7 linked regions of the Coturnix japonica genome follow. The protein of the gene in region 1 interacts with the protein of each later gene in a pairwise test. Links are inferred from orthologs where the notes say so. Each region holds a gene or a part of one and is shown in the gene's direction. Other genes may lie near its edges.

Region 1 (3,792 bases):
AGGCAGCTCAGGCTGGGAGAAGCTGGGAAGCATGAGTACACTTCAACTGAGGGTGAACGTAGGAAGCCTCTTACCTTAGTTCTTTCCAGCCCGTGGTCACCAGCCAGATGGGGACGATTAACAATCTGATTCACGTCAAGAAGTCTGACTTTGAGGTGTTCGACGCTTTAAAAGTGGATTCCCTGGAGAGCTCCGAAACCTCAGGTCGGGGTGAGTTTTTGTGGCATTACAGCTTTGCATGTGCTATTTTCCACTTCCTACTCTGAGACTCACTGCTCTGGGGACAAACAGCTCCCCTTAGCAGGGGTGTGGGCCCACACACACAGAGATTAATGTTTGGCAGCATGTCCTGTCCCTGGCCTGAGCAGCTCCTAGCTGAGGCATTGTCTCCAAGGAGGCTGTGCTGGTGTAACCTGTTCTGTGCTAGCATGGTCCCAGAGCAGGGCTGGTGCCTGCCTGCGGCTGAGATGGCCATGTCAGACCAGTGAACACTGGGAACACATCTCTCCTTTCTGTCTGCTCAACTGTGAGTAAGTCATCTGATCTGGGGTAGAAGCCAGGTGAGAGCAGGATCCAGGCTATTTTCAGCAGCTGCTCTTGGTTTTCACACCGAGGCTATTTGTACTATTGCTAGCGCATCAGAAAGCTCTCTCCACTCGTGTTACAGCAGCGGGTTGAGTTACCACACAGATGCTGGCAGTGCTGGCTTGGTGAGTGGTGCTGGCAGGTAGTTCAGTCATGTTTCAGTCCAGGGTGCTCTGAGCACAGCCTGCCTTCCATGCTTTAAGTCCCGTCTCAGATAGAGCCTCAGCTCCAGGCCCTTGCCCAAGCCCAGAAAGAAGCCATCAAGCTTCATCTCCAAGGAGGTGGAACCTTCAGGGTGCTGGCTGTTCCAAAATGAGCAGGTCAGATGTGGATGGGAGATGCGATCTGTCCATCTTACAGTGACCACAAGCTCCTGAGGACCCTCACACAGGCTGAACAGCTTCTGTATCCTCTTTTGGAGCCTCTGTGTCAGGCAGTTGTGCAGATGTACTGCTTGCTGTGCCCCTGCGCCTGCTGCAACGGGTGCTGCTCTGGGGCTGGGTGCTGCTTGGAACAGGGAGGGGGACCCAGCAGTGCTGAGAGTTGTGTGCAGGGGTCCTGGGGTGGATTCCACAGGGTGCCTGTGTTGTGTCGGTGCATGTGCCACCTTACAGGCGTGCTTGGATACACCCACAGCTTGCCTGGCTGCTTGTTCTGCTGAGGAAAGTCTGATCTGTTGCTATATGATACGTGGCTAAGGGGAAACTGAGGTCTGAAGACCCCTCTGAAACAGAACAAGTCACCTTCTATTCCCTAGATGCTGTGGTTTCTAAATATGCTGAGCCTGTACAGCTGCCCCACTACAGGCTGATCCCAGCCTTCTCAGTACCAGTCGCAGACTGGGCTCATGAAACACTTCAATGCCTGAAAGACCCTGCTGGGTTCTTCTCAGCATCCTAGGAGCTGATCAGTGATCGAGCCACCTTATGCCTCTTCCCTTTAGACTTATCAAGTTCACCACCTGGACCTTACGGCCAAGAGATGTATGTGTACCGGCCTGAGGAACGCTTCAAATCCCCTCCCATCCTCCCGCCTCACCTCCTCCAGGTCATCCTCAACAAGGACACCAATATCTCGGTGGGTACCAGCACACAGCTGCATACAGAGAGCAACATAGAGGCCAGAAGGGGATTCCTGTCTGCAAGAAGCCTGCTCAGCCCTTAGCTGGTGCCTGGCCCTTGCTCTTTGTTGAGAAGAGCATTGATTTTTCTCAGTGACCACTCTGCCTTGTGCTGAGCCGAGCTCTGTTCATGTTCTGAACAGCCACCCAGCAGCTCAGATTGTCTGAGATGGCAGCTCCTTGCTTCTCATGCTGGGGGTCAGGGTTCTGCTATTCTCCTCTGACGCTTCTCTTGTCCTAGTGTGACCCGGCCCTGCTGCCCGAACCCAACCACGTCATGCTCAATCACCTCTACGCACTCTCCATCAAGGTAAGGGGAGGCCCCAGCGGCCACGGGCTGGGGGAAGGGGAGTGACTCCCAGAGCTCATAGAATGTGGACGGCCCTGGGGTGGTGATGGTGGCACAGAGGTCCAAGGACTCACCTGGGGATTGCTTGGCTGCCTGGTTAAACGTGGCATGCGCTGGGGTGTAGGTGGTGGTGATGTCCGTACAGCTCCCAGTTCCCTGTAGCTGCCTCCTCACAGCCTGGTGGAGCTGGGCAGCCCCGTGCTCTCCTGTCATAAGCCAGCTCCGTTCCTTGGCTCTTTGTCTTGGGTGGGTGGGTGGTTCTTGGTGGCTGGGCCAGCCCCCCCCAGGCCTATAGAGCGGCAGGGGCCTCTTCCTCCCAGCTGCCTGGGGGTGCCCTATGGCACTGAGCTCCCCACCCACTGCAGCTGATGCTTTGCCTCTCACAGGATGGCGTGATGGTGCTCAGTGCCACACACCGCTACAAGAAGAAGTACGTCACCACGCTGCTGTACAAACCTATCTGAGCCGGGGCCTCGCCCACCCCCCACGCAGGACACGAAATGCCACTTTGTCTGCACACGCTGGGCCACAGGACTGTGTGAGGACTGGCTGCTGGATCCAGCCTCTAACCTGGGGGGGGCTGCAACCCCCAGTGCTGAGCCCAGGCCTGCTGGGGCCGTCCTGCTGTCCCATTATACTGGTGTGGTTTGATTTAACCCTTGGTTTCCGCCCACCTGCAGCTCCCCTTTGGCTTCAGTGAGTCTCTGGGGCTGCTTTGCTGCTCACGGAACAGCTTTTCCTCGCTCCTGACACAGAAAGGGCTTCACTGCTCCTCTGCTCTAGACTGTGATGGCCCTGAGGCTGTCCTGGCACCGTCCACAGCCAGGCCAGCAGCAAAGTGACCTTTTGCTGCCCTGGTAATGAGCCTCCAAGGCCATGTTGGTCCTTGGAAGCTTGGGGAGCCTCAGCCTGCCACTGTCCCTCTGTTCCTCAGCCCTGGCTGCAGGGCTGTCCCGCTCCTTCTGCTCCCCAGCTCCAAGGGGAGCTCTTGGCCTCTACCACGTTCAGTGCTGAGCCAGGAGGAGGGTGGGCAGAGCTGGATGCGCCATGCTTACCTGCTGCCAGGACACCAACATCAAGGACTGAACGCCTGCCCCATCACCACCATCGGGTGCTTCTGGCGGGCCTGGGGAGAGCGAAGCAAGGCAGATACCCCAGGACCCCAACTACATCATCTGCTGCTGTAGCAGTGCCATGTGACAGGGTTTTCTCTATTTATTACAGTATTTATTGTTCTCTGTGCTGCTGGCCTGGTGTTGGAGGGGTGTTTGGGAACAGTGAGACCATTATTGTGCCACGGTGCACCCCCTGGGACAGCCACCAGGACCCCGAGGTGGCTACAGGAGGGGGCACAGCCGCAGGGACAGGTGTGCTGCAAACACCAGGACCCAAAGGAAACCTTTATTGGGGATTCTTAGGCCACTGAAGAGACTGAAGAGTGTCATTCCTTACATTTTCCTCCCATGCTGGGGCCTTGACATGCCCAGAGAGGACCCTGAAACACAGCTCCAATATCTATACCTCTCTCTCTATATATATACATACATCCATGAGCAGGAGCGGTTATGCAGCAAGGTTACACACAAGACTGAGTTCCGGGGCAAGAAGTGCTCGGCTTGGAGGGCTGTGACACCCTGCTCTGAGCACAGTGGGTGGAAGGGGGCAAGCAGTGAAGCATGGGGCAGGCAAAGCCCAAGCCAGCTGCTGCGATGCCAAGCAAAGGCAGGTGAAGGGCACA
Region 2 (4,106 bases), on another chromosome or scaffold:
ACTAAATCTAAGTATAAAATCAGAGGCAATGGGGCTGAAAGGAGCCTGAGTCACTGCATGGTGCCACATCATGGGGCTGCCTCTGAATCAGACCCACCTATAGGCAAGAGAGATAATAGTGGTCATCCTGCAGCTGCCTGAATGCCCCAGAGATGCTGGTACATCTTCTCCTTAGACCACAGCAGCCTGATCCCTCTGTCATTTGAAGAGAGCCTTCCCATGTTTGCTCAGTTGAGAAACAGTGGTGACAGAGGTGATACCCATGTTTAGTTCAGGACAGGAGGTGGGAGCATCGCCCTCAAAGCCAGAATGATTGCAGAAAACGGCCCTCGTGGGAGAGGGTCCATTCTGTGTAGATGGTTTCCAAACATCATTCCTCCTCATATACATAAGAATATGTATTATGGGAAGAGCAGTACAGCCCCATCCTGGCTGAATTTATGTCTTCGACCCCTTTCACCCAGAGGCTCTTCACACTTGACTGAAACATAAGGTAAAAGTAAATGCAACTGAAAGAACCCATTGTGTGCATGGGCATAAAGCCCTTTGTGTGCAGGAGCAGCATGTGGCCAACACTACGAGGAGCAGCCAAGGTGTGCTCAGGGCTGTGCTCAGATGCATGGGGACACAGAGCCTGTGACAGCCGTGTGTGGGGAACACAGGGTCCTGGCCGTGCCTGCATGTCTGCACTGAGACATTTCCCAATGGGTCTCTACCAGCATTACAGCACAGCTGCCTGACTTCTTCCACACACCCACAGCCAAGAAGCAGTGGGACCCATTATGTGGAGCCACAGAAGCAGGGGAAGATCAACAAAACATCGAGGCTTCTGCACGATCATTCTAAGTGGTTTTCCTGAGTATTGGCTGGAGTAAGGATCAGGGAGGATGGGGATCCATAATCCCATTTATCCTAAGCCACATAATCTTCCCAAAGCTCCTTAATGGTGCCCAGCTCCTTAGTTACTGAGCGGCCGGCACAGCCGAACCCACCTGGGGCACCTCACCGCACCTCACCGCACCGCGCAGCCATGAGACTCTCGGACCCCTCTGTGCGGGTCTGCCCGGCCCGAAGGAAGGAGAGCGCTGCCCTCCGCCTCCGCGTTGCCTTAAGGGGTGTGGGCCCGCCAAGTCCCGCCCGCGGTTCCCCAGCACGGGGCGGGGGCGTGCCGCTACCGGCCGCCGGCGCTGCCCGCCCGGCCCCATCGCAGCGGGGCACTGACAGCTGCCCCGAGCGGGCACCGGCGCGGCGCTCCCCGGCGCTCCCCCGCCCGCGGGCGGCCCGCTCCCACCCGGCCCCGCCGCCCCATCCATGGACCGCTGCCGCCGGCCCTTGGGCGGCGGGACCGTGCCGCCGCTGTGAGCCCGGCCGGGGAGCGGCGGAGCCCCGAGCCGCGGGCACCATGGACAGTATCCTGGAGCCCTTCGCCGCCGAGCGGCTCTTCCCCGCCGCCGGCCCCGGCTTCCTCGACCTGGGCGACTTCAGCGAGGCGGATTTCCTCAGCAATGTGGTAAGGGGCGCTGCCCGGCGGCGGCCAGCCCGGGATGCCCGTCCCGATCTCCCGCTGCCAGCCCGCGGCTCTCGTTCGCCTTGCTTTTTTTTCCGCCTTATTTGCCCTGGCGGCGCGCTCAGGCCCCGGGAAGAAGCGTGCGGGGCGGGGCGGTGGGAGCGCGGCCGGGGGGGCTCCGCTCGAGCAGCGCTGGAGCACGGCGGGACCACGGGACGCGGGGCTGTGAGCCCCCACTACCGGGCAGCGGGACATGGGGTCCCCCCTCCCGTCTGTTTCCCACTTCTTGGGCAGAGCAGCGTCGGAGAGACAAGGCGTCCCCGTCCGGCGATAGGGCTGGGATGGTTTGCTTTAGAGTGCAGGGCGAGAGGAAGAGTTACTTAGGAGGAAGAGCTGCTGCCAGTCCCAAGGAACCAGAGGGGCATTGTTCACCTCTAAGGAAGCTGCCTGGCCTCCCGAGGAGCCCTGCGAGCTCCAAACCCAACAGCTCCCTCCCTCGCTGCCCTGCCTGGGCTACGGGAGCTGTGCCGTCCCGGTGAGCTCTTGCTGCAAATCTGCTGCCCCTCTGCCCTGGGGGAGGAGAGGAAGAGCCCCAGTGCTCGGGTGGTCCGGTGAGATGGGGAGCATCCTCCCTTGTTCCTGTACAGATCTGAGCATCCCTGAGGACATCCCGATAAGGGATGCCAGCACCACAGCACCGCTGCAGGGGGCAGGGAGGGGAGGGCTGTAGCCCTTGGCTAACTCCGCTTCTTCTCTGCTGCACATAAGATAGCCAAAGCCTTTTGCTCTGCCTCCGACGTGGAGACGAAAGTAGAGATGCAGAATTTGCATAGATGTGAAGTGCAGCACACTCGGGGTGTGGAGATGCATTGGGTCTGGGAAAGAGATTACGCAGGCGGCCTCGTCTCCCAGGGGCCTCACCAGCTCCTACTGCAAGGCAGTGCCGTGCCTGGGAGTGGCAGCAGTGGAGCTGTGCAAGGCCCTGTCTGCTCCAAGCAGGTCAGAGCTTCGTGCTTCCCCTATTCACTGTACACCCCTCGTGGGTGCAGCTGTGCTGAACCTGGAGCGCTTTGTGCCAGGACTGCTTATTCTCTTATCTCCGTGATAATACTCTGTCTTGGCACCAGTCCTTTGACCTCTGTGCAACACAGACTGCAAGCAGAAGGCAGGAAAACCCTCACCCGTGTAGACGGTCCCTCCTTGTAGTTCAAACACAACTTGTGCCTGCAAACAGAGCATGAGAAAAAGAAGCCTTTTGTAAGAGTGCCATCTGGTGCCACCTGCCAGGACAGTGTGCTTACCGTGTGCAGTGACCACGGGCAGGAGCAGCCAGTTGTGGCAGCTCTGCTGTTGCTGTCCTCAGCTCACAGTTAGAAAAAGGAACGCTGTGTGGATCTCTCACCTGCTGCCAGCACCGCTGACTTCTGCTGCAGTGTGAGTGTCCAGCAGACACCTTCCCTTCCCTTCCCAGATAAGCAGGGGAGATTCCTTAGCTGCTTCCCACCTACTGAATCTGTAGCTGATACGTGCACCAGAACATAGTGCATCAGCTTCCTTGTTCCTCTGCTGCATGACAACACGGGAAGGATGAATACACTGACATTCTCCTGTTAAGTGCAGCAAACTTCCCAGGATCCAGAGATGTGCTGAGTTGTTTTCACACAGAGCTGTGCAGAGCATCACCGTGCACAATAGCTCACAGAGTTGCCAGTGCCTTTGCTTCATAGATGGGCAAATCTTCCAGATATTGTTCAGCAAGTATTTTTCTTAGAAGAGCCAGGAATTTTGGCCATAAAATGCCTGTATGAGGCTGGTTCTGGGGGTGATTCCTTCTGTTCAGAACAGAAGCAGAAAGAAAGGACGAGTGATGCTCAGTGCAGAGGTTGTGCTCCTTGGTACATGGATTATATGGCCCTGAACCACTCACCTCTGTTGAGCCCTCTCTCTCCTAATAAGTCACCTCCTTTCTTTAGAAATGGTTCTCTGTGTTGTTCATTTGAAATCATGACTGTAGTAAGGATGGAAGTAAGGAAGGAGTTAGGACAGTACCTCCGTACATGTGAACCTCTGTACCTCAAAGATTTCTGTGTGCTTGAAACAGAGAACAAAGTCTGACCTAAGGGGGCTGGCATTCAGAGGAAGCCAGGCAGGTTGTAGGGATGGCTCAGCAGGAGCTTTGGGACATGCAGCAAAGCAATACTGACTGCTGCTCCTGGGATGGACCAGCTCCTGCACTGGGACAGGCTGGCATTCACAGGCTGAGAGGAGGAAAGAAGTGCTGGGGGTACTGGGCAGCCCTGGGCCAGCAGAGTGCATAGGGGGCTGCTAGCTTCAGCAGGAGCATAACAGTATGGACAGATGGGAGCTCAGGCACAGTGGGACCCAGCAGCAGCCTGCTGGCCCTGTGAGGAGCTTGCTGAGAAGGTGGAGCCAGGCTCTTTACATAAGTGCATGGCAGCGCTCGTAAATCAGAACAGGGAAGGTTTAGACTGAGTATAAGGAAACAATTTATCACTGTGAGGACACAGGAGAGGATGAGGCTGCCCAGAGGTGTGGTGGAATCTCCAGCCCTGGAGGTTTCTAAGACAGGTCTGGACAA
Region 3 (4,164 bases), on another chromosome or scaffold:
TCTTTCTTGATCTACACAAAAAACCATCTAAAACCAGCGACTTCCTTAGGAAACAATAGCAAGTGAACGCTGATACGGAGGTAAAATAAGCTAGATATTTCCTGGAACCAAATGGTTTTTCATAATGAGACAGAGGAAAGTTGGCATAAGCGTACAGTGCTAAAGAGAGACTGAAAAATAAGGATGAAAAGGTGAGGAATTAAAACAACAAGGAAATATTGAGCTTATTTCATTTGGAAGGATAAGCCAGAAGGGCAACAGAATGTATTTTCTTCTATAAAATAAAGAAAAGAAGGATGATGTATTGACACCCTGATGTTCTTATTCATTTTTGTGAGGAGGGGGATGGCTGGAATATGAGCTGATTTGTCACTCAAACAAGATATAGTGGGTTAAAGCTGGAACAGAATGGAGTATCTGCTTCTTCCTAATGCTGGCTTATGAGCTATCTCTTACCTCATGATAAAGTAAAGACCTCGTTTGCTAAAAGAGGATGTATTTTGTGAAGCACAGGAAACACCTGTTTATCCTCAGTAAGTGGTTTGTGCTGTAAATAATAGTCAAAATTGGTCCTGATTTAAGCACTGAGAAGGTGCCAAGTTGCTATATTACTTTTATTATGTCTCTGATCAAAGTCGTAGACATCAGCTGGATCCTGCCATAGTTTCCTACCATTACTTTGATGACCACAAGTGAATATTGGTTGATGTGTTGTTTTAGCTGAGGAGTAGCTTTACAATGAGGAGCAGGATCCTCAGCAGAACCTGAGTTAATAATCTATGGGAGGGAATGCACTGATTAGGAACCAGGAGGGCTGTTATCCTAACATCCCAATATCCCATATCCTAATGGGTTTGGGTTTGGACAGCAAAGGATTTTAGTGGCACAGCAGGTGCTGCACTGTATGTATCTGTACCATTGCTTTTCTAGCAGGGTTGCTTGAGTTTTCCAAGTCTGATACAGGGCAAATGTGCAGCAAAATATGACATAATCCATTGGGAAAAGTCAGTTTGTAAGGAGTTTAACCTCTGAACTTCCTAATCTGCTTGTGAAAGGACAGAACAGGCTAAATAAACCCATGGACTCAGCTGAGCATTTACCCCATCATTGCAATGATGCATAAGGCTGAGATGGGGACATCACATAGGCCACTGCGGCCTACACGCGTTGCGGTGTGCGAACTACAACTCCCAGCATGCACCGCTCCAGCCGATAGTACTACAGATCCCGGCCTGCTCAGTATGGGCGGTGCCCAAGTGCTGCGCGTTGCCCTCTGGGAATTATAGTCTCTCCCAGCGGCGCGGCGGTTGCGAGGCCGCGTCTTTTGCGCGCATGCGCGGGGCCTTCGAGCCAGGCGGGAGGCGAGAGATCGCAGCGCGGCGGCGCATGCGCAGTGAGGAGACGGAGATCTCTCGCGAGGAAGGACGCCATTATCGCAGCCGCCCGACAAACACCACGAGAATTCGGCACCGCACACGGTAACCGCGGCGCCCCGCGGCCGGACGGCTGGGGCCGAGCTCCCGGGGGGCCTTAAGGCCGGGCCTAGAGCCTCGTTTATCGCAGCGTTCCCGTTCCTTAGAGCGTCAGGCCGAGCAGCAGGGCCGTGAGGCGGAGGCTACGGGGGAGGGGCTGCGGGCTTTCAGGCGGGGAGCGAGGGAAGGGGGGAGGCTGAGGCCTGGCCTCCTCCTGCGGCCTAAGGGCTCTGGAGCCGGGCCTTGCGTTCTGCTCGCCTCGCTCCCCTCCTGCCTGCTCTGTGCTGCTCTATGGGCCGGGTGTACAGCCCCTCTGCTCACCTCTAAACCGAGGCCGTCCCTCCTCATTCCCATTTCGGGTCGTGGGATGGACTGTGGAGCCCCCTTAGCCCCCCACTATCGCGACAGACTGCAGCCTTCTTTAGGGCAGCCCCCCACCCCCTATCGCGACAGACACTGCAGCCTTCTTAAGGGCAGCCCCCCACCCCCTATCGCGACAGACACTGCAGCCTTCTTAAGGGCAGCCCCCCCACCCCCTATCGCTACAGACATAGAGGGGGCTGCAGCCTTCTTGAAGGGAAGAAGTCCCCTCTGAAGTCCCCTCATTCTGTCATTGGGCACAGTGAAAGGTTTTTCACATCTCCACCCCCTGCTGCTCTGTTTGGGGGTGGGCAGCTCACCCTTAATGTTTTTCTTCTTCCCTTCGTTCTTATCTAATGCAAAAAGCAAGCACCGCAAGAATATTTTAAGTCCTGCACTGTGGGAAGTGATGCACTTGGAGTGAAGGCTGCGCTTTTATCCCGCTGTGGGGATGGTTTATTTATAGGGTTATATTTAGAGATCACCAGGGGGAAAAACAAAAAGCCCAAGGAAATCAATTGGGAGGGGGGTGTAACTGCAGCACAGTGATTGCTTAGCATAGAATGGGCTGAAAAAGACAGCAAGGATCATCCAGTTTCAACCCCTCTGCTATGTGCAGGGTCACCAGAGCCACATCCAGCGTGGACTGCTTCCATTAGAGCAGTTTGCAAAGTCTTTTAAAGCATTGTAAAACTATACTTCTTTTCTTTCTTCTTAACCTTGGGTGTAGTGCCCTGTTGACTGATGTCAAGGAGCAAACGTGCCATTTGTCTGTAGGGTTTTGGCTGCTCGCTTAACATCCATCCGAATCAGCCCTGCTTGTTTTCAACCCATTGTTTCACGGCTGTGATATGATGTGGGTGGGGAGAGTCTGAGCACCTGTGAATGGTTGTCCATGGGAATAGAGCAGAATAACAACTAAGCTGCACTGAAACTGGACTCTGTGCATTCAGTGCTCCTTGGCAGTAGTTCAGTTTTCACTACTACGTGCTGGGAAGGAAGACTTTTTAGTTCTGAAAGATGGCGTTGGGATTTTGGAAGCGTTCTCAGTCCATCTGCTTGAGATGAAAATATTTTGCAAGGTTTTTTTTTTTCTTTGGTTTTAGTTTATCATCTGTTACGCTGTAACAGAAGCTGCCTTTAATGACTTAATTATCCAGCCGTGGCTGCATGAATATAGAGCAGGTTTAAAGCTGTACGGCTCTTTGCTTTAGTTTGGGACTTGGTCTTTAGTTCTTATCTATTGAAGTCATTTTGTTTTTTTGCTTTCTTTTTTTACCCGTATTCATTCAATGTGAAGTGCTGCTCCTTCAAGTAACAATAAAAAATAAAATGCCTTTAAAAAGTCACATCAAACCCTTGTTTCCTTGCAGTTGTAGCCCTTGAAAAAGGTGCTGTCAAGTGCTTAGTTCTGTCTCCTGCTTGTTAGACTGCACACAAACGTGACACAAACCTTCTGGGACCTCAAATAAAGTCATTTCTGATGATATCTGGACCAAATTCTTTTCATCTCATTTCCTGTTTGTATAAGCATGGCTGGAAAAGGGGGAAGCCGTGACTGCAGGAGGGAAGCATACGTTGCGTTCAGATGCATCTGTATCTTAAAACCAAGACAGAATGCCCGTCTTCTGCCGTGTTGGCGTGGATTCATAGGAACCGTGAAGAAAAACGCTCCTTCCAAACACAGCTGTACCTGCTACGCTCTGCCAGCATACCTAGATATGCTGGTGCAAGCTTAAGCTGCAATCACTTTTGTTTGCTAGAGGAAGGAGGGATGATGGCAAACAGGTTCAGATCATACTGGTAATGTATTTCAGAAGAGCACAGGGTCTGTGTTTTCCTTCAGGTGATGCTCTTCATATATATATATATTTGTAAGAATGAACAGATATTATCCCTGGGTTCTAAAGCAGCATTGAGGTCTGTTGCAGGAGCTTGGATGTTTTAAGTGTTTGAAGGTGGTAAGAGACATGGAGCAGGTGGCTTGTTTTGCCCTAGATCTGATGTTGGCTGCTGTGCTTTTTTGCACCTGTAGCAGCATGGTTGGTTGGTTGGCTCTTTTTTCCCCCCTACCCTAGATCAGATTCTTTCAGTTGGAAAAATACAAAGTTGTGTTATTCCCTTTTTTTTTTCTATAAACTTCCTGTTTGAGGGAAGCCAAACACAAAGAAATGAAGTGTTTGCTCAAGTCTCCTTTAAACCTGAGCCAGCTGTCTGTAAATACCTGACTGAAGCGAGGTCTTGGTTGTGTGCATTGCAGAGCACTGATGCTGGCCCTGCAGTGCTTCCTGTATATGCAAAGCCTATAAATGCTGTAGCCAAGTCACTTTGT
Region 4 (4,176 bases), on another chromosome or scaffold:
TGCTGCTCTTTGCTATCCCTTGCAAATCCAAACAACACCATGATCTTCAGCAAAGAATTAAGCTGGATTTAGCTAGCTGGCGAGAGCCTTGACTTCTGAATTCTTGTGAGCAGCCCATTCCTCATGCAAGTGAGCAGGATCTTGTTGCATCACTGACGTTTAGTGAAGAAGCTGTTCTGTGAAGGCCCCTGCTTTTGCCAGAGGCTGCAAGGTCTCTGAAAGGCATTGCTCGAGGTGGGAGTGTTGCAGCTGGAGACTCCCCAGTGAAGGCATATAATGAGAGGATTTCCTAGCATCAGCCTCAGCCTTCCTGCACTAATCTTGGAAACTCTTAACTCATGGGTATCACTACAGCAGTAAGATCTGCCTTTAGCAATGTGAACAGAGTATTTCCTTTCACACAACTTTCACAGAATGTCTCTCATCTAATGAGAGATGGTATAAAGTGGGAAAAAAAAACACCCTACTTTGTTACTTTTGTAGCTTTGCAAATAATGCTTCTCAGGACTTGAATAAGTTGACAGGGCTGAAAACACTCAGTCTCACTTATGGGTAAATCACTTTGTCTAATCACTTTCATTATTTCAAAACTGACAGAAATGAGCATAACAAGTGCTCATAATAATAACATTCCTAAGAAATGAGCATTAAAAGTTTCCCATCTCATGACACAGACAATCTTTACATATGGCATACCTGGTTCATTTGCCATTGCTGTTCTGTCATGGCCTTAAATTGCACCATGGGAGGTTCAGGTTGGATGTAAGGAACAATTTCTTCTTAGAAAGAGTAGTGAGGCAGCTGCCCAGGAAGGTGGTGGAGTCACTGTTCATGGAGGTGTTGAAGTACCGTGTGGATGTGGCACTGACGGATATGATCAGTGGTATGGATGGGCTGACAGCTGAGCTGATGATCTTAAGGGTCTTTTCCAGCCTTAATGATTCTGTGATTCTAAACATTCTTTACCCACACAGTTACAGTAACATGAAGCTTCATTTTCAGCTCCGCCTGTATGAATTAACACCACCCCAGAGGCCAAAGACTCCGCACAGAAAGAAGCAAGGAGTGCACTATGGGGTGTTTTGCCTTTTCCCTCAGGCAGACACAGCTACTCTGTCAGACACAATTTAAACTGGTTATTAACCATAAAACCTCAAGTATTTACCTGCTGCTGAGGTGTTTTTGCTGAAATAACAGCAGCATAGGAAACAAGAGAGATGGGAAGCCCTGCATGCCTTTGCAACAGACAAAATACATGGTAGGAGTGCGCAGATGCAGTGTGAAAGAGGTTTGGGGGCATCAAGGGAACTGAGAACGGCTTTGGAAAGCATAGATGATCTTCCAGCCATTATTTGCTATCATCATCAAGTCAACACCCAAGAATGGGCTCAGTGCAGCCCTCTAAGCGCAGCCCATCTCCTTTCACACGCTGAATGGAAGCGGGACTTTGAGCTGTGTAGTAGCCAGTCCAGCCCGGTATTTCCACGCCCACATCCGAAGACAACAAGAAGCGGCTGCCGGTGCCCACGGTGCTGACTGCCAAGCAGAGCCGCCCCGCGTTCGCCCACACTTCCCGTACAAATCCGCCCCCCGATGGGCGGGGCGGGCGCTGCCATGCAAATCAATGGGCGGTGAGTCGAGACACGGGGCGGGGTGTTCCAATAGGACCGGTACTGGCCTCGACGGCGCGGACTGAACGACAGTGAGTGCGGCTCGAAGGGAAGCACGTTTGGGCTGGAGGTGAGTGCTGCGCGGGGTGGGACGGTGCTTTCCGCGCTGGGTTCTCGGTGTTGCCGTCGGTGTCTCGCTCAGCATCGGGCCCGTGGGGTGTGAGGAGCGCTCTGCAGTTTGGCTTTGCCTGGGAGTAAAGGAAACGGCCCCGTGCGAGTCGAGAGTGAAGTGTGAGCTCGGCAGCAGAGAGCGGGTTGGAGACCGGAGGTGTTTGGTTCCATCTGTGGTTGTGGTTGCCTGTAAGGGGTAGAGGACATCGCTGAAACGAGAGCGTTCTCTAAACGTACCTCCTGGTCTTGTCTCAGCGCTGCAGCCTGCTTCGCCCGTGCTCCTGCCTCGTGGTGCTGCCGTGCGGGCTGAAGGTGCTTGGCTTCATAGCGAGAGGTAACAGCTTGTGCTATTCCCCTTTTCCTTGGGCATCCCTGTGGCCAGGTCTGTGAGCAAGGCAGGAGCTAGTGCTCTTTGATGGCTTCCTATTAAACTGACATTAGTCTCTTGTCCTGCTGAGGAGCGTTAGTGATGTGTGTGTCTGAGATAGCAGTACTGGGGAAGGAAATGACTGGGAGAGTATCGCTGGCCTGCAGCACTCAGTGGTGCTTCTTGTTGCTTCTTGTTTCTCTGCTTCAGGTGGTGTTTTTGGAACCTTTTGTTTTGTTTTAAGCTGTTAGGGATCCAAATGGAAATGCGTGGCTTGTTAAGACGAGAATGCAATTTGGAGGACGCTGCCTTCCTGTTCTTGTTGTTTAAGCTTTTTTCTATGGGAGTGGTGAGACTACTAGAGGAGCACAACTTTAGTCAGAAGGAAAGGCAAAAGTTTTAACAGCCCGAAGGAAAACAGGGTGAAGCCTGTTGGTGACCTCTGAGGAAGAGGGCTCCATGGTGTTCCTGTGGAGAACTGATCCTATTTTATCCCATCACAGCTTGTTCAGTGTAACTCGCATATAAGTCAGATAGATGACACTGGAAATAAATAACCATTTCTTTTTATGAACTCCTTCTGTGCATTAGAGTGTGGTGTCTTTATACCCCATCCTTTGAGGTACTGAAGGCCCCACTGCCTGGTAGGTGGCAGCCCTACCTATGGCTGGGGATTGGAACTTGAATGGGCTTTAGTGTTCCTTCCAACCCAAACCATTCTGTGATTTCTCCCTGATCTTGTGTGAAGAACAAGCTTATGTCCCTCTCCTCTTTCTTCAGTCTCCTGCTTTCTAAACCCTTTGGAGACTGGTGAGTATCCTCTGGCTTTCCTAGCTTGGTAATGGGTGCTGGATGCAATATTCCAACCAAGGCCTTACTGATACCAAGCAGGGTACAACTGGTGCTTCCCATGCTACTGCTTATATAAGTAATGTGTGAGTTTTTGTTTTCTTTTTAACTTTAAATTAATTTAACCTGATAAATTTACCTCAGCCCCAGGTGCCGGCTCTTCACATTGATGCAGCCTTGCAGAGAAGCCATTCTGGGGGCACAGCTCCAGGCCTGCCCCTGACCATGCCCATGCTCTGTGGCCATGCTACACTGCTGGCAGGGAGGCTTCTGGGGAGCCAGCAGTGTGTGGTTCAGCTTCTGCTTTTTTGCTCTGCTGTTTTGATAGCTTCTGCTGATTGTGTCACCATCCTGCTATCTCATCTAGCCTTCTGCACACAGCGCTCAGTGCATCTCATTTAGGCCTTGTTTCTGTACTTAATCATGGTCTCACGGGACCTGACTTTGTGAGGCTGATCATGTGTGCAGCTTCTTCTCTATCTGCTGGGCAGTAGACAGGGAAGTCTTAACTGATATGGTGTAAGATTATTATTGATTAACTTGTATCAACAAAAGCTAGGGAGAGATTTCCTGAGTACTGGTGGCACTGTACCCCCAATTACATCTGTACCAGTGTCCCTGGTACTTTGAAGAGGCCTGAGAACACCCATAGGTGCTGTGTGGTGACTGCTGTACTGCTGGTCAGCATGTCCTGGGGCTGGGACTTTGCCTGCATGTGTGTGTGATGGTTGTTTCCTGGCTGAACATCTTTGGTTCTGTTAGAGGTGTGTAGGTTTTGCAGGAGAACCCAGAGCTCAGCCTCCTGTACTGGTCCACGTGAACAAACACCAATAAGACCCCTCATGTTAAAACACAAAGGAATTTTTTTTTCCTATAAGAATGCTTGATATCAGATTGTATAACCATGAGCTCTAAATGTATGTATACTCAAAAAAGAAAAAAAAAAAGCAGTTGTGCTGATTTACAAATGCTTGTAGAACACTGTGCTTCTGACTTATAATCACATGCAACCTCATATTTCCACGCAGATGTTAGGATAATGTCTTAATTGTGCCTAAATACCATCTGGTAGTAGCAATGGTAGTTACGTGCAGCCTGTACCCAGTTGTTCTGCTGGGCAGACCTGTGTCAGGCTTGTTGAGGTGATTCACCAGAGCAGGATCCACCTGCAGCACTCAC
Region 5 (4,268 bases), on another chromosome or scaffold:
CCACCTCCCCAAAGCAGGGCCAGCCACGCTGCCAGGAGAGCCGCCTGTGTCCCACTGGCTTCCCCACACCAGCCGTTGTCACGCCTTCCGGCCCTGTGTTCCCAGCTGTGTCACACCTCTTGTTCCACGTTCTGTCCCGCATCCCGTGTGCCATGTGCTCACACCGTGCTCCCAGCCTTACGGCCCGCGTCCCCATCGCTGTCCCCAGCCCCGCGTGCTACGTACCCAACCTCGCGTCCCACGTCCCAACTCCAACGTCCTCGTCCCCAGCCGTACGTGCCACGCACCGAACCTCACGTCCCAGACCGCAGCCCTTTGTCCTCCATCCCCACCCCGCGTCCCGTCGCCCCAGCTCCGCGTCCCACCCCCGCTCCCGTCCCCGGCCCCGTCCCACCCCGTGTCCCCACGTCCCTCCCCCAGCGCCGTGTGGCCGCCCGCCCGGCCCCGCCCCGCCCGGCCCCGCTCCCTCCCGCCCGCCGCAGGGCCGCGCCGGAGGCAGCCGCGGGCGGGTGGCGGAGCGGCGGCGGCACCATGAGCAGCGGCGCCGCCGAGCGGGAGGGCCCCGCCGAGCCGGGCCTGCCCGAAGAGGAGGTAGCGGGCCGGGCGGGGGAGGGGGAGCCGCCGAGGGCGGGCCGGGTCCCGGGGCGGGAGCGGTGCGGCCCCCACGCGTGTCCGCGGGGTCCCGTCAGCCTGGGCGTGGGGCTCGGGGCGCGGCGGGAAGCTATGGAAGTTGGTGGGGGGGGAGGCGGAGCGGCCCGGAGCCGGGTGCGCCTCGGCACAAGGGCTGTGGGACGCGGGGCGCTTGGACTCACGCGGGGTGCGGGCACGGCGCCTCGTCCCCCGGAGCGGAGGCGGCGGCACAAGGTCCCGTCGGGCGGCACGGCGGCCGCGCACAGAGCCTGGCCGGGGACGGGAGCCGGGACGGCGGCCCCGCTCGGCTCTCGGCGGCACCGCTCCCGGCACAGCGCGAGGTCGGTGCCGCCGCTGCCCGGCCGCCGCGCCCTCACCCCGAGTGCGCGGGCACGAGGACGGGTCGCGGTCACGCCGCGGGCGGGGGTCGGGGCGGGGGCAGCCGAGCGGCTCACCGCTGGTGGAACATTAAAGCGAGCCCGGGGAAGGTGATCGGATGCCTGGGGAATGAGTCACCGCGCTCCTCCCGACGGTCCCTTCCTGCCCGAGCTGACCGGCGGAGCTCGGCGCTGGGGCGGCGGAGCGTGACCGCGTCCTTGGGGCAGCCGAGGGGCCACGGCGCTGACCCGGTGCCCGTCGCACCGCCCGCGGCCGCCGCTGCTGTGCCGAGCCGCCTCCGGGCCGCTCTCGGGCGGAGCGAGGCCCGCCAGGTCTCCCCGAATGTCCCCGGGGCGAGGAGAAAACCTGCCGGGCGGGGACAGCGCGAAGGGGACGGAGCAGGCACGAGGCTGCGCCCCGGTCTGTCCGTGGGCAGCAGCAGAAACAGAGGGGTGCGGTGGGGTGGGCACGGGGTGGCTCCGGAGCACATTCACCACCCTCGCCTGGTGACAGTCCCGGGCTGTGACGAGGGATGGTGAGGGGTGAAGGCGAGCCGGGGAGAAAGGCTGAGCGCGGCAGGGTGGTGGGGCTGCCATGGGGGGTGTCAGCCCACTGGCGTGGAAGGATCCCTCCGGGAGGGGTCCCCAGCCCCCACAGAGGGGATTCTGCCACTGCCCACCCCGGCCTGCACTGACAGCATCTGCAGGGCCCGGGGAAGGCTCCAGAGCCACAGCCTCTGTCAGGGAGCTGCCCCGCTCCGTGGCAGAGCAGGGGCAGCCTTTCCCCACGGCTCCTTGCTGGGGAGACCGCATCGCAGCTCCTTCCCCAGCCTCTGCTTGTCTCTGGTTTTGGGCAGGGGGGAAAAGCCTAAATGGGATTTCCCCCACCACCCCCCTTCAAGCTCCTGCTGTAATCTGCGCTTCTCTCCCTGCTCACTGAGCACCGCAGCACTGGCCCGACTTGGCCGACCTGCGTTTGAACTTTCAAAGAAAACAAGTCATTACCGAGGAGAAGCCGCATCTCTGTGAGGCCTAATTTCGGAGGGTTTTTTTTCAGGGCCTTTATCTCTCTTATCTGCTGCGCAGCCATGGGGCTAAATTACCCGGAAAGTCAGGCTCGGGCGGGTTTAGCTTTCAGGAACACAGCTCACAGCGGGCACTTCCTTGAGGCCGTGAGCACAGAGCTGTGTGCAGGAGCGTGGCCTGGAGGCCCTGGGGAGCCTCCTGCAGGCCCACAACCAGCTGACGCTCTGCCCCTGCAGGTGAGGACCCTGTTTGTCAGCGGCCTGCCCCTGGACATCAAGCCCCGCGAGCTCTACCTGCTCTTCAGGCCCTTCAAGGTACTGCACCCGCTATGGGGCTCTGAGGGCCTCTGAGGCCAAATGAAACCAATGGTGCTTCTCTTCTCTCCCGCAGGGCTATGAGGGGTCACTTATCAAGCTCACCTCCAAGCAGGTATGGGCTGCACCGTGCCCCCACCTGCCTGGGGGCTGCCCTCACCAACTGCTGGGGATGTGGTGGGGTCTTGGCCCTGACCGCCCTTCGCCTCCTCTCTCCGCAGCCCGTGGGGTTCGTGAGCTTCGACAGCCGCTCAGAAGCTGAGGCCGCCAAGAATGCACTGAACGTGAGTGCTGGGACCCCCTAGGGAACACCAAAAGAGATGGATCCCAGTATCTATTACCCCGTGGAGACCTCCTGGGGAAGCCCGGTTCCTCCCCATCCTTGCATTGAGGCAAAACGCCGCTAATCCCTTGCTGGGAGCGTGGCTGCACGGGATACCGACTACCAAATATGGTGCTGAGCTCGAGGATGTCAGAGGAATGTGAGCCACGGGGCCATGCTCGCTGCCAAGCACATGAGGTCACGGCCACCCCAGCAGCCCGTGGGGATATTGGGACAAAATCCGAGGCTGTTTTAGCCCAAATGGCCTTCTTGAATGGGGGGCAGCACCCTACCACAAGATTCAGCCTAACTGACCTCTGCTGCCCTGTTCCTTTCCACAGGGCATCCGCTTCGACCCTGAGATCCCCCAGACCTTGCGGTTAGAGTTTGCTAAAGCCAACACCAAGATGGCCAAGAGCAAGCTGATGGGCACTCCCAACCCCAGCACGCCCCTCCCCAACACTGTACCTCAGTTCATCGCCAGGGAGCCCTGTGAGTGCTTGCATCCTGACCCTGGTCCGCCCAGTATATGGCCCTGGCAATGCCCCTTTCTTACTGAAGCAGTTGGGGCAGTGATACCTTAGGAGCTGGGTGCAGGGAAGCTTTTGGAGAGGCACGGCAACTGTGGTTGGGTTTGGAAACCAGCTGCTTGTGCTTGGGATGACGCAAGGGCAGGTGACGGTGGCCTGGGCAGAAGTGCAAAGCTTATACCTGCTGTCCACTTTCCCCTTGCTTTTAGGATTAATTTTCCTCCTTTTCCTGCAGATGAGCTCACAGTGCCTGCACTTTACCCCGGCAGCCCTGAAGTGTGGGGGCCGTACCCTCTGTACCCAGCGGAGCTGACGCCTGCTCTACCTCCTCCTGCGTTCACATACCCTGCTTCGCTGCATGCCCAGGTAATGGCACTGGCTCACAGCACTGCAGCCTTTCTGACAGGCAGAGCAAGAGGGAGGGAAAGGAGGGGAGCTCTGGGGCCAGCTGCCCAGAGGAAGAGCAATGGTAAATATTATTGCAGCCTCATACTTCCCCTGTCAAGGCAGCGCTGACAGGCAGCACCTGTGCTCCTCCTGGAGGAATCAGCACTGCAGCCACCGCAGCCCCAGGGTATGGCTGCACTACCCTTTGCTGCAGTTTTCCTTCCTGCTCACCCCCTGCCCCCATGTCTTGCAGATGCGCTGGCTCCCTCCCTCCGAGGCTGGGTCTCAGGGCTGGAAGTCCCGTCAGTTCTGCTGAATGCTGTGTAAGTGCCCCCCGGTGTCCTCCGTGTAGCACACCTGCGGTGCCAGCCAAAACTTGGGTAGGAAGGGGGACGTGCCAGCCCCATCCCTGAGCCCTGCCATGCCACCCACAGGTCTCGGGTGTGTGATGGCGGCCGACGGTCAGTCTTGTGGGTATGAACAGAGCCCCCCGGCGGCTGCTGGGCACGCACGCTCTCTGCAGAACCACAGTGTGCTGGTAAGGAGCGCAGTGCTCGGGCACAGGCTGTCCCCCCATGCTTAATCATCCACAGCGGGGGTGGGAGTTCCAACTGCCCTGTCACCCCACCCCCTCTCTGCCATACAGCTTCCTGCCCTATAGCAACACTGGTCACACTCCTCT
Region 6 (2,603 bases), on another chromosome or scaffold:
CTGTTAATAAAATTCTCGGAGTGAGTTTAAATACCTCCAGCAAAGCTCCAGCAGCAGTTAAGGTAGAAGACATAACTAAATCCACTTTCTATTAAATAAGAAATGTTACTAAATCTCATGCTAATGTTGTACAGAAAATGTTAGTAAAGACTGTATTAAGATCACAAATGGCAATGTAAAGTGACAGTAATCTGAAGAAGCGTATAAAATCTTCAAGACCTGATGTTAATTACACTGAATCCACTTCCACTTAATATTTTCATACTTCACTACAAATTCTGGCTTGCTGTAGTTTACTACTTTAGTTGTCATTACTTTAACTCCACAAATAAGGAAAGGCAAAGAAAAAAAGGAGAAAAATTTTTCAACGTAGCTGAACTAAAAACTTAAAATACCATATTCAAGCCAAAATTCTGACTCTTAGGCAGATTGTCTCAAAGGCTAAAGTGTTTGTTTTCCACTGAATATTAAAATTTACTTATATTTCCAAAAAGATCTAAAGTGATTCATTTTTCTTCATCCAATAAAGAATTACGATAAAACAAGAATTTGAGTTTCTCATCTCTTCCTTCACAAAGTGGAAATTCTTCCTACATGCCACGTTCCTAGTTATTTCAAGTTCTAGATAATAAACCATAATCTATCATACAAACTGGATTGGACTATGGATTACTGTCTATGGAAATGCAAAAGATAACAAAAAAGCCAAGGGAAGACTTAACTCTGCACATCTCAAGATAAACTAAAAACTTCAGGTTTTGATCAAGTTTTACAGAAAATGGGTTAAAGGGTAGATTGTTCTGACTTCACCTTCCTTGTACTCCTAACACCTGCTAATTTTACCAGTGTACAAAGGGAAGTAGCTCTGAGTTCCAAAACTACTTTTAATGCCTATAGACCACTGCTAACAGGGATTGTCTTTACACTTTGATTACAGGGAAACAAGTGAAAAAGAAGAAACTGGAGTTAAGTCCCTGTGTTACAAGAGAAGTAAAGAATAAAGAAAAAAACTGAGCACAAGAATCATGAGAGATCGCCTCCAGGAGCTTAAACTCCGAGCCAAAGAACTACAGACAGCTGGAGAAAATAGCTGTCCACCTGTACAAGAAGAGCAGGAAGAGTTTGAACAGCAGGCCATTATTTATGAAAGGGAACCTATAACTGAAAGGCATTTCCATGAAATCCAGAAGCTTCAGAACGAGATCAACAATTTGGTGGAGGAAGTTCAAAAATTCAGTCAACAACAAAAAAGTTTAGTATCTTCAATGAGAAGGTTCAGTGTTCTTAAAAAGGAATCTAACACAGCAAGAGAAATAAAAATTCAAGCAGAGCATATACGAAAGGGTTTGGATGAACTGTCAAAAACAGTGAAAAAAGCTGAAAGTGAATATGGGATATCACGTGCCATAGTAAGAATTTTAGCTTCCCAGCACACTTTCCTGTCCCGGTGTTACCTAAATGCCATGCTTTCATACAATGAAGCTATAACAGCCAAGCAAGAGAAATGCAGAAGGTTTATTGTTCGTCAGCTTGAGGTAGCAGGTAAAGAGGTATCTGAGGATGAAGTCAACGATATGTTTCAACAAGGAAAATGGGAGATTTTCAATGAAAATCTACTCACTGAAGCCAAAATCACTAAAGCTCAGCTTTCAGAGATTGAACAGAGACACAAAGAACTGATCAGCCTAGAGAGTCAGATCAAAGACCTGAAGGAACTTTTCATCCAGATATCAGTTCTGGTGGAAGAGCAGGGGGAGATGATTAACAACATTGAAATTAGTATGAACAACACTCAAGAATACACCCAAATATCCAAAGAAAAATTTGGACTTGCAGTCAGGTATCGAAAAAGAAACCCTTGCAAAGTAATATGCTGCTGGTGTTGTCCATGCTGCAAGTGACAAAGGAAATGACCTTTGTAAGTAGCAGCAGCTCCTATGCAGTAAACTGAACTTATCAACCAATCCCAGGATTCTCTTATTGCGTCATTTTTCTTCTCTTTCCCCCTTCCACACATCTACTGAGGAAAAACTGCACCTGCTTTTCCAAATTGAGTTCAAAGATTGACAAGAGATCTTCACCTTTGCCTAAATTTTATGGCTTCCACAGTAACATGTGAAAAATAAAAAGATAAAAGGAGACAAATAACACTCACTTGTTCTTCCACAGATAATAAGTGTCAAAAAAACAATGTCAACATGCCATCTGTGCTTTTGTGAAACATCCGAATTATTGTAAGCCTCAGAAAGAATACACAAGACCGGTTGAATTACCTTTTATAAAATACTATTTTAATTGCTGTGGGGTTTTTGTTGTTGTTCTTGTTTGTTCAAATACTCATATTTACTTGATTCAAATTTCATTTTTTCTTCCCCAAGAACTTGAAGTAGTACAAACAAAAGTAACACATAAAGTAGAGAATCTCAGTAACAATCAAGAAACCAATGCCTAAACTTTTCACAGTCCCAGAGTCTTGTGCGGGTTGGAAGGGACCTTAAAGATCATTGAGTCCAACCCCCAGGATTCGAGCCTCCTGTGTAGCAGAGCGGCACTTCTACCACTTGCGCCACAGGGGGATTCGAACCCAGGCCTCCGGTGTTGCA
Region 7 (4,213 bases), on another chromosome or scaffold:
CTACAATCACTGCTCTGATGGATCACCCCTATGGATTTACAGCGTGTTACAACAGCGAGTCTCGTGCAGGCAGCAGCATCCATTTCCTACATTCCTTCAGGCTGAGGAGTTAGGAGAGGCCACAGCAGCTTACTCACAATTAGCAAGAACATTTGGTCATCATTTTCCATTTTAAAGTGATATATCTTCTGGTAATTAATCACCATAGGCTAAAAGCCCTGCAGAGCCTGCACATCCATCCTTGGGAGAAGGGGAAGAAATGAGGCATTTTTTGGAGGGATTTCCTTTGGAAATCAGCTACCAGGTTGAATTCTGTGGCTCTGCAGAGCTGTATGCCAGGAGGGAGCATTCACATGGGAGAAGGGACTCCTCCAAGAGCCACTAAAGGAGGAGAGTTTGGTGGGTAATGGGGGCTGCATGGGTACCCCACCAAGAAACACTGGTGGGCAGTGAGCTGCATGGCATGAAGCCTGACCCATGTATGCAAGGGCCAAGAGTGAGCAGCCCACCTGGACTTTCCCTCCCAGTTAAACCCACCTGCTGGTGGCAATCTGGGGTGGTGGGATGGTTGTCAGACTTGCATAGAATCATAAAGGCTGAAAAAGGCCTATAATACCACCAAATCCAGCCTCCACGCTCCTTGAGCATCTCCAGGGACAGTGACACCACCACGTCCCTGAGCAGCCTGCACTGCTGCATCACTGCTATTTCAGAGCAAGTTCTCCCAATATTTAACCCAACTCTCCCTTAGTGAAAACTGAGGCCACCACCTCCCATCCTACTGCTGTTACCTGGGAGCAGAGGTAACAACCTCCTGTTAGGAGCATTAGTGAGCGATGAGTTCTCCTCCTTTGAGCCCCATCTCCTTCACCCCACACTGCTTTATCCCGAACCCAACACAGGGCACAAACACCATCCCCATGTTCCTCAATCAGGGCATTGCTCCTCCGAGACCCAACCACGGAGCTCATCCCAGCGCATTAATCGGGGGGTCAACGGGCCCTGACAGGTGACAAATAGGATTGTGGGGCCAAGGACAGGGAGGAGATCGCCCCACAGCAGGGCCGGGCTCACCCCCCCGGGACAGCCGGGCCCTATTGAGGCCTCACCCGTAGGCCCGGCCCACCCCACCCGTCCCCGCCTCACCTCGCTGGTGCTGGCCGAGGAGGCGGCGCTGGGGGTCGGCGAGCGCTGCAGCGTAACCAGCGCCATGGCGGGGTGGATCCGGTGATAAAGGCCGGGATACTACAGTGGTTACAGGGATCCGGCCGCCTCCATCCCGCCCGGCGGCTGCGCAGCACCGGGCCCCGCCGGCATACGCCGTGCTAAGGGGAGGAGCGAGGGGTGAAGGGCGGGGAGAGGTGGGGGGCAGGACTGGGCCGGGCGGGGCCTAGAGGGACCGTGATTGTATGTGAAGTGTCCCATGGCTGAGTAGACCTGAGTGGGTTTTAAGGCCTCTTCTAACTCAAATCATTCCATGGTTCATTGATTCTATGAGAAACCAGTTGGTTGCTGTATCCACATGCCCCAGACAACCCATGGGGATGAAAGAGCATCCATAGAGCATCCGTTTCTAGGTATAGCATCAAGGAACCACATTATAACCAGGCTGAAGGGTCCCAAGGAGGTGCCAAAGGGATGAAAGAGCATCCATAGAGCATCCATTTCTAGGTATAGCATCAAGGAACCACGTTATAACCAGGCTGAAGGAAGCGTGAAGGGTCAGCGGTGCCAAAAGCAAGAGCCAGGCAAATAGTAGGGTAATTAGTTTAAGAGGCTTTGCTGATTATATGTAAAGCCTTTAATAATTTAGGCTTTTGAATAACTTTTTCCCCCTTTTTTTTTACAGCAGAGTGACTGCCTGCCCCCGCCTTCCTCCTGTCTGACTGCATTTCTGCTGCTGGGGACTTTGACATGGACCACAGTGACCCTATGGGCTTCCAGAGGATGGACCACAGGGCACCAGGGACTCCACCTCCTGGGTCTGGAGCAAAGACTTTGACCCCGTTGCCCAGCACAGGGTGCGTCTGCAAGCCCTGGACACTGATAGTTGGACTGCAGGGCTCCAAACAAGCAACGCTGCACTAAGGGCTCTACTGAAGCCTCCAAAACCCACAGAGAGTGCCTGGAGAATTCTGCAGGTAGGTCAGTGGAAGGTTGTGTTTCTGTTATTTATTGACCAGCTGAAGGCTCACGGGGCAGATGGATGCCTCCTCAGCTTGTCCTCAGGGCTGCATTTGGCAGAGGTAGCCCTGATTTCTGCTGGCTCTGACCTGTGAGCGGCAGCAGATGGGAAGCAGCACGGCCCTGTCCTGCTGCCCATCGTCTTTGTGACTCATCCTGCAGCCCAAGCAGGCGTCAGTCCTGCTGTGAGCTGAGCAGTGCCGCAGGGGTGCTGTGCTTCACCTTATCCAAATAAAACTGGTGTAGAATTTATAAGCTTGCCCCAGGCCATGTCTGGCAGCCTGGTGCCCATGATTCCCCAGCGCAGCTCAGCCCCTGTGCAATCCTCCTGTGCTCTAGCAGCCAAACTGGGATCACGTTGAGTTGATAGCAGAAGCCCACTGTCACCCTGGCCCTTCTTCCAGGCCTTTTCCTCACCACACAGAGCCCAGAGCCATGCGCATCGCTGTCATTGGGGCTGGAGTGATCGGCCTGTCCACCGCCCTGTGCATCCATGACCGCTTCCAAGCACTGGTGCCCCAGCTGCAGCTGGAGGTCTATGCAGACCACTTCACACCCCACACCACCAGCGATGGGGCTGCAGGCCTGTGGCAGCCCTACCTGAGTGACCACGGCAATCTGCAGGAGACGTGAGTTGGAGCTTCCAAGCCATTCTGTGATATCTATGCAGATTAAGGGTTGAGCTGCTGGAAAGGAGCTCTGCAAAGCGTGACCTGGGTGTCCTGGTTAATCATGAGGCAGCAGTGTGCCGTCATGGTTCAGAAGGCCAGTGGTACCCTGGGCTGTATTACAAATGGAAAGCAGGGTGAGGGAGGTTCTCCTCTGCTCTGCCCTGGGGAGGCCATATGTGGAGCATGGAGCCCATTTCTGAGTTCCCTGTCTGTCTTGAGCTGGGGAGCTGCTGGAGGGAGTCCTTTGGAGGGCTGCAAAGATGGTCAAGGCCTGGAGTGTCTTCTAATGGGTTTTTTCCATGCAGGCTGTGGAACAAAGAGACCTTTGAGCACCTCCTGGGGTACCTCAATTCACTGGAAGCAAAGGAAATGGGACTGTTCCTGATTTCTGGATTCAACCTGTTTAAGCAGCCTGTACCGGTAAGGAGCTGAGTGCAGGGGAGGCAGGAAGGGCCCCAGCTTTGGGCAGTGAGCAGGTTTGAGTTTCTGGGCAGGAGCTGGACAGCAGGGACATCTCTCACTCCTGTCCCTGCAATACCACAATTGATTACTGCCATTTGAGTGATATCAAACCTTCTCCCCTTCACAGGATCCATCTTGGAAGAACATTGTCCTTGGCTTCAGGAACTTGACACCGAAAGAGCTTGAACTCTTTCCTGGCTACAGGTACTTCCAGGCCCTTTTTCTGAGAGTTTCTGGGCTCCATCACAGTTATTTCCCTTAAAAGAAGCACGAATCACCTCAAAGCAAGCAGTAACAATGCATGAAAACCATTCCAGCTCCCTCTCTCATTTCACTGCATACCTTTAAACTTGGGAAGAAAACAGCTATGCAGTAAATAGGAAAAAACAAAGCCCTGGCTGTGCCCATGCATGGGGTAGGGTGCAGCCACCCTTGGGCAGCTGTTGTGGTCTTTACTACTTTCTATCCTCATGTCTTTCAGCTACGGCTGGTTCAACACGGCGCTGATGCTGGAGTGCAGGAGCTATTTGCCCTGGCTGACCAATAGGTGAGTACTGAGCCCTGCTGCTGCTTTTCCCTGGTTGACCTGGAGGGCTGAGCAGGGCTCTTGGCCATTAGGGAAATGAGCTAATAATGGCTGGAGAGTATTTAAGAACTGCTGAGAAGACCGTGAATGTTTATTACAAGGAGCAACAAGCCGTACCTACCCTGTGCATCAATTGCAGGCATTAGTTTGAATGGTACATTGGCTTTTATGTGCTGGTAACAGATGAACTTGCTCTTCCAGGCTAACGCAGAGAGGCGTGAAGTTCTTCCACAAGAAGGTCGAGTCCTTTGAGGAGGTGAGCTGGGGATGGTGGGGAGCCAGGATGCAGTCAGGCATCAGCAGCACAGCT

The links.
Region 2: the proteins of PRKAB2 (region 1) and CREB3L1 interact in binary tests that used the Homo sapiens proteins (3 or more experiments, as listed by UniProt). The link is inferred for Coturnix japonica from reciprocal best matches to the Homo sapiens genes PRKAB2 and CREB3L1.
Region 3: the proteins of PRKAB2 (region 1) and BANP interact in binary tests that used the Homo sapiens proteins (3 or more experiments, as listed by UniProt). The link is inferred for Coturnix japonica from reciprocal best matches to the Homo sapiens genes PRKAB2 and BANP.
Region 4: the proteins of PRKAB2 (region 1) and STX11 interact in binary tests that used the Homo sapiens proteins (3 or more experiments, as listed by UniProt). The link is inferred for Coturnix japonica from reciprocal best matches to the Homo sapiens genes PRKAB2 and STX11.
Region 5: the proteins of PRKAB2 (region 1) and RBPMS interact in binary tests that used the Homo sapiens proteins (3 or more experiments, as listed by UniProt). The link is inferred for Coturnix japonica from reciprocal best matches to the Homo sapiens genes PRKAB2 and RBPMS.
Region 6: the proteins of PRKAB2 (region 1) and STX19 interact in binary tests that used the Homo sapiens proteins (3 or more experiments, as listed by UniProt). The link is inferred for Coturnix japonica from reciprocal best matches to the Homo sapiens genes PRKAB2 and STX19.
Region 7: the proteins of PRKAB2 (region 1) and DAO interact in binary tests that used the Homo sapiens proteins (3 or more experiments, as listed by UniProt). The link is inferred for Coturnix japonica from reciprocal best matches to the Homo sapiens genes PRKAB2 and DAO.

Annotation. Positions count from the first base shown.
Region 1 is NC_029523.1:4,164,133-4,167,924, reverse strand, and holds the end of PRKAB2 (5'-AMP-activated protein kinase subunit beta-2), read left to right. Parts: intron 1-89; coding exon 90-210; intron 211-1,528; coding exon 1,529-1,662; intron 1,663-1,946; coding exon 1,947-2,015; intron 2,016-2,440; coding exon 2,441-2,518; 3' UTR 2,519-3,292; downstream 3,293-3,792. UniProt on the Homo sapiens protein: Non-catalytic subunit of AMP-activated protein kinase (AMPK), an energy sensor protein kinase that plays a key role in regulating cellular energy metabolism.
Region 2 is NC_029520.1:21,207,819-21,211,924, reverse strand, and holds the start of CREB3L1 (cyclic AMP-responsive element-binding protein 3-like protein 1), read left to right. Parts: upstream 1-1,306; 5' UTR 1,307-1,402; coding exon 1,403-1,510; intron 1,511-4,106.
Region 3 is NC_029526.1:16,031,529-16,035,692, forward strand, and holds the start of BANP (protein BANP), read left to right. Parts: upstream 1-1,364; 5' UTR 1,365-1,478; intron 1,479-4,164. UniProt on the Homo sapiens protein: Controls V(D)J recombination during T-cell development by repressing T-cell receptor (TCR) beta enhancer function. Binds to scaffold/matrix attachment region beta (S/MARbeta), an ATC-rich DNA sequence located upstream of the TCR beta enhancer.
Region 4 is NC_029518.1:41,265,492-41,269,667, forward strand, and holds the start of STX11 (syntaxin-11), read left to right. Parts: upstream 1-1,376; 5' UTR 1,377-1,740; intron 1,741-4,176. UniProt on the Homo sapiens protein: SNARE that acts to regulate protein transport between late endosomes and the trans-Golgi network.
Region 5 is NC_029519.1:30,663,444-30,667,711, reverse strand, and holds the start of RBPMS (RNA-binding protein with multiple splicing), read left to right. Parts: upstream 1-1,468; 5' UTR 1,469-2,095; coding exon 2,096-2,347; intron 2,348-2,423; coding exon 2,424-2,462; intron 2,463-2,568; coding exon 2,569-2,631; intron 2,632-3,010; coding exon 3,011-3,161; intron 3,162-3,434; coding exon 3,435-3,565; intron 3,566-3,839; coding exon 3,840-3,902; 3' UTR 3,903-3,909; intron 3,910-4,020; exon of another isoform or gene 4,021-4,124; intron 4,125-4,268.
Region 6 is NC_029516.1:80,493,052-80,495,654, reverse strand, and holds the end of STX19 (syntaxin-19), read left to right. Parts: intron 1-937; 5' UTR 938-1,025; coding exon 1,026-1,901; 3' UTR 1,902-2,103; downstream 2,104-2,603. UniProt on the Homo sapiens protein: Plays a role in endosomal trafficking of the epidermal growth factor receptor (EGFR).
Region 7 is NC_029530.1:5,746,127-5,750,339, forward strand, and holds the start of DAO (D-amino-acid oxidase), read left to right. Parts: upstream 1-1,413; 5' UTR 1,414-1,577; intron 1,578-1,849; 5' UTR 1,850-2,141; exon of another isoform or gene 2,142-2,145; intron 2,146-2,588; 5' UTR 2,589-2,619; coding exon 2,620-2,813; intron 2,814-3,160; coding exon 3,161-3,275; intron 3,276-3,444; coding exon 3,445-3,521; intron 3,522-3,798; coding exon 3,799-3,864; intron 3,865-4,104; coding exon 4,105-4,159; intron 4,160-4,213. Other genes in the region: SSH1 (protein phosphatase Slingshot homolog 1), read right to left, coding at 1,147-1,212. UniProt on the Homo sapiens protein: Catalyzes the oxidative deamination of D-amino acids with broad substrate specificity. Required to catabolize D-amino acids synthesized endogenously, of gastrointestinal bacterial origin or obtained from the diet, and to use these as nutrients.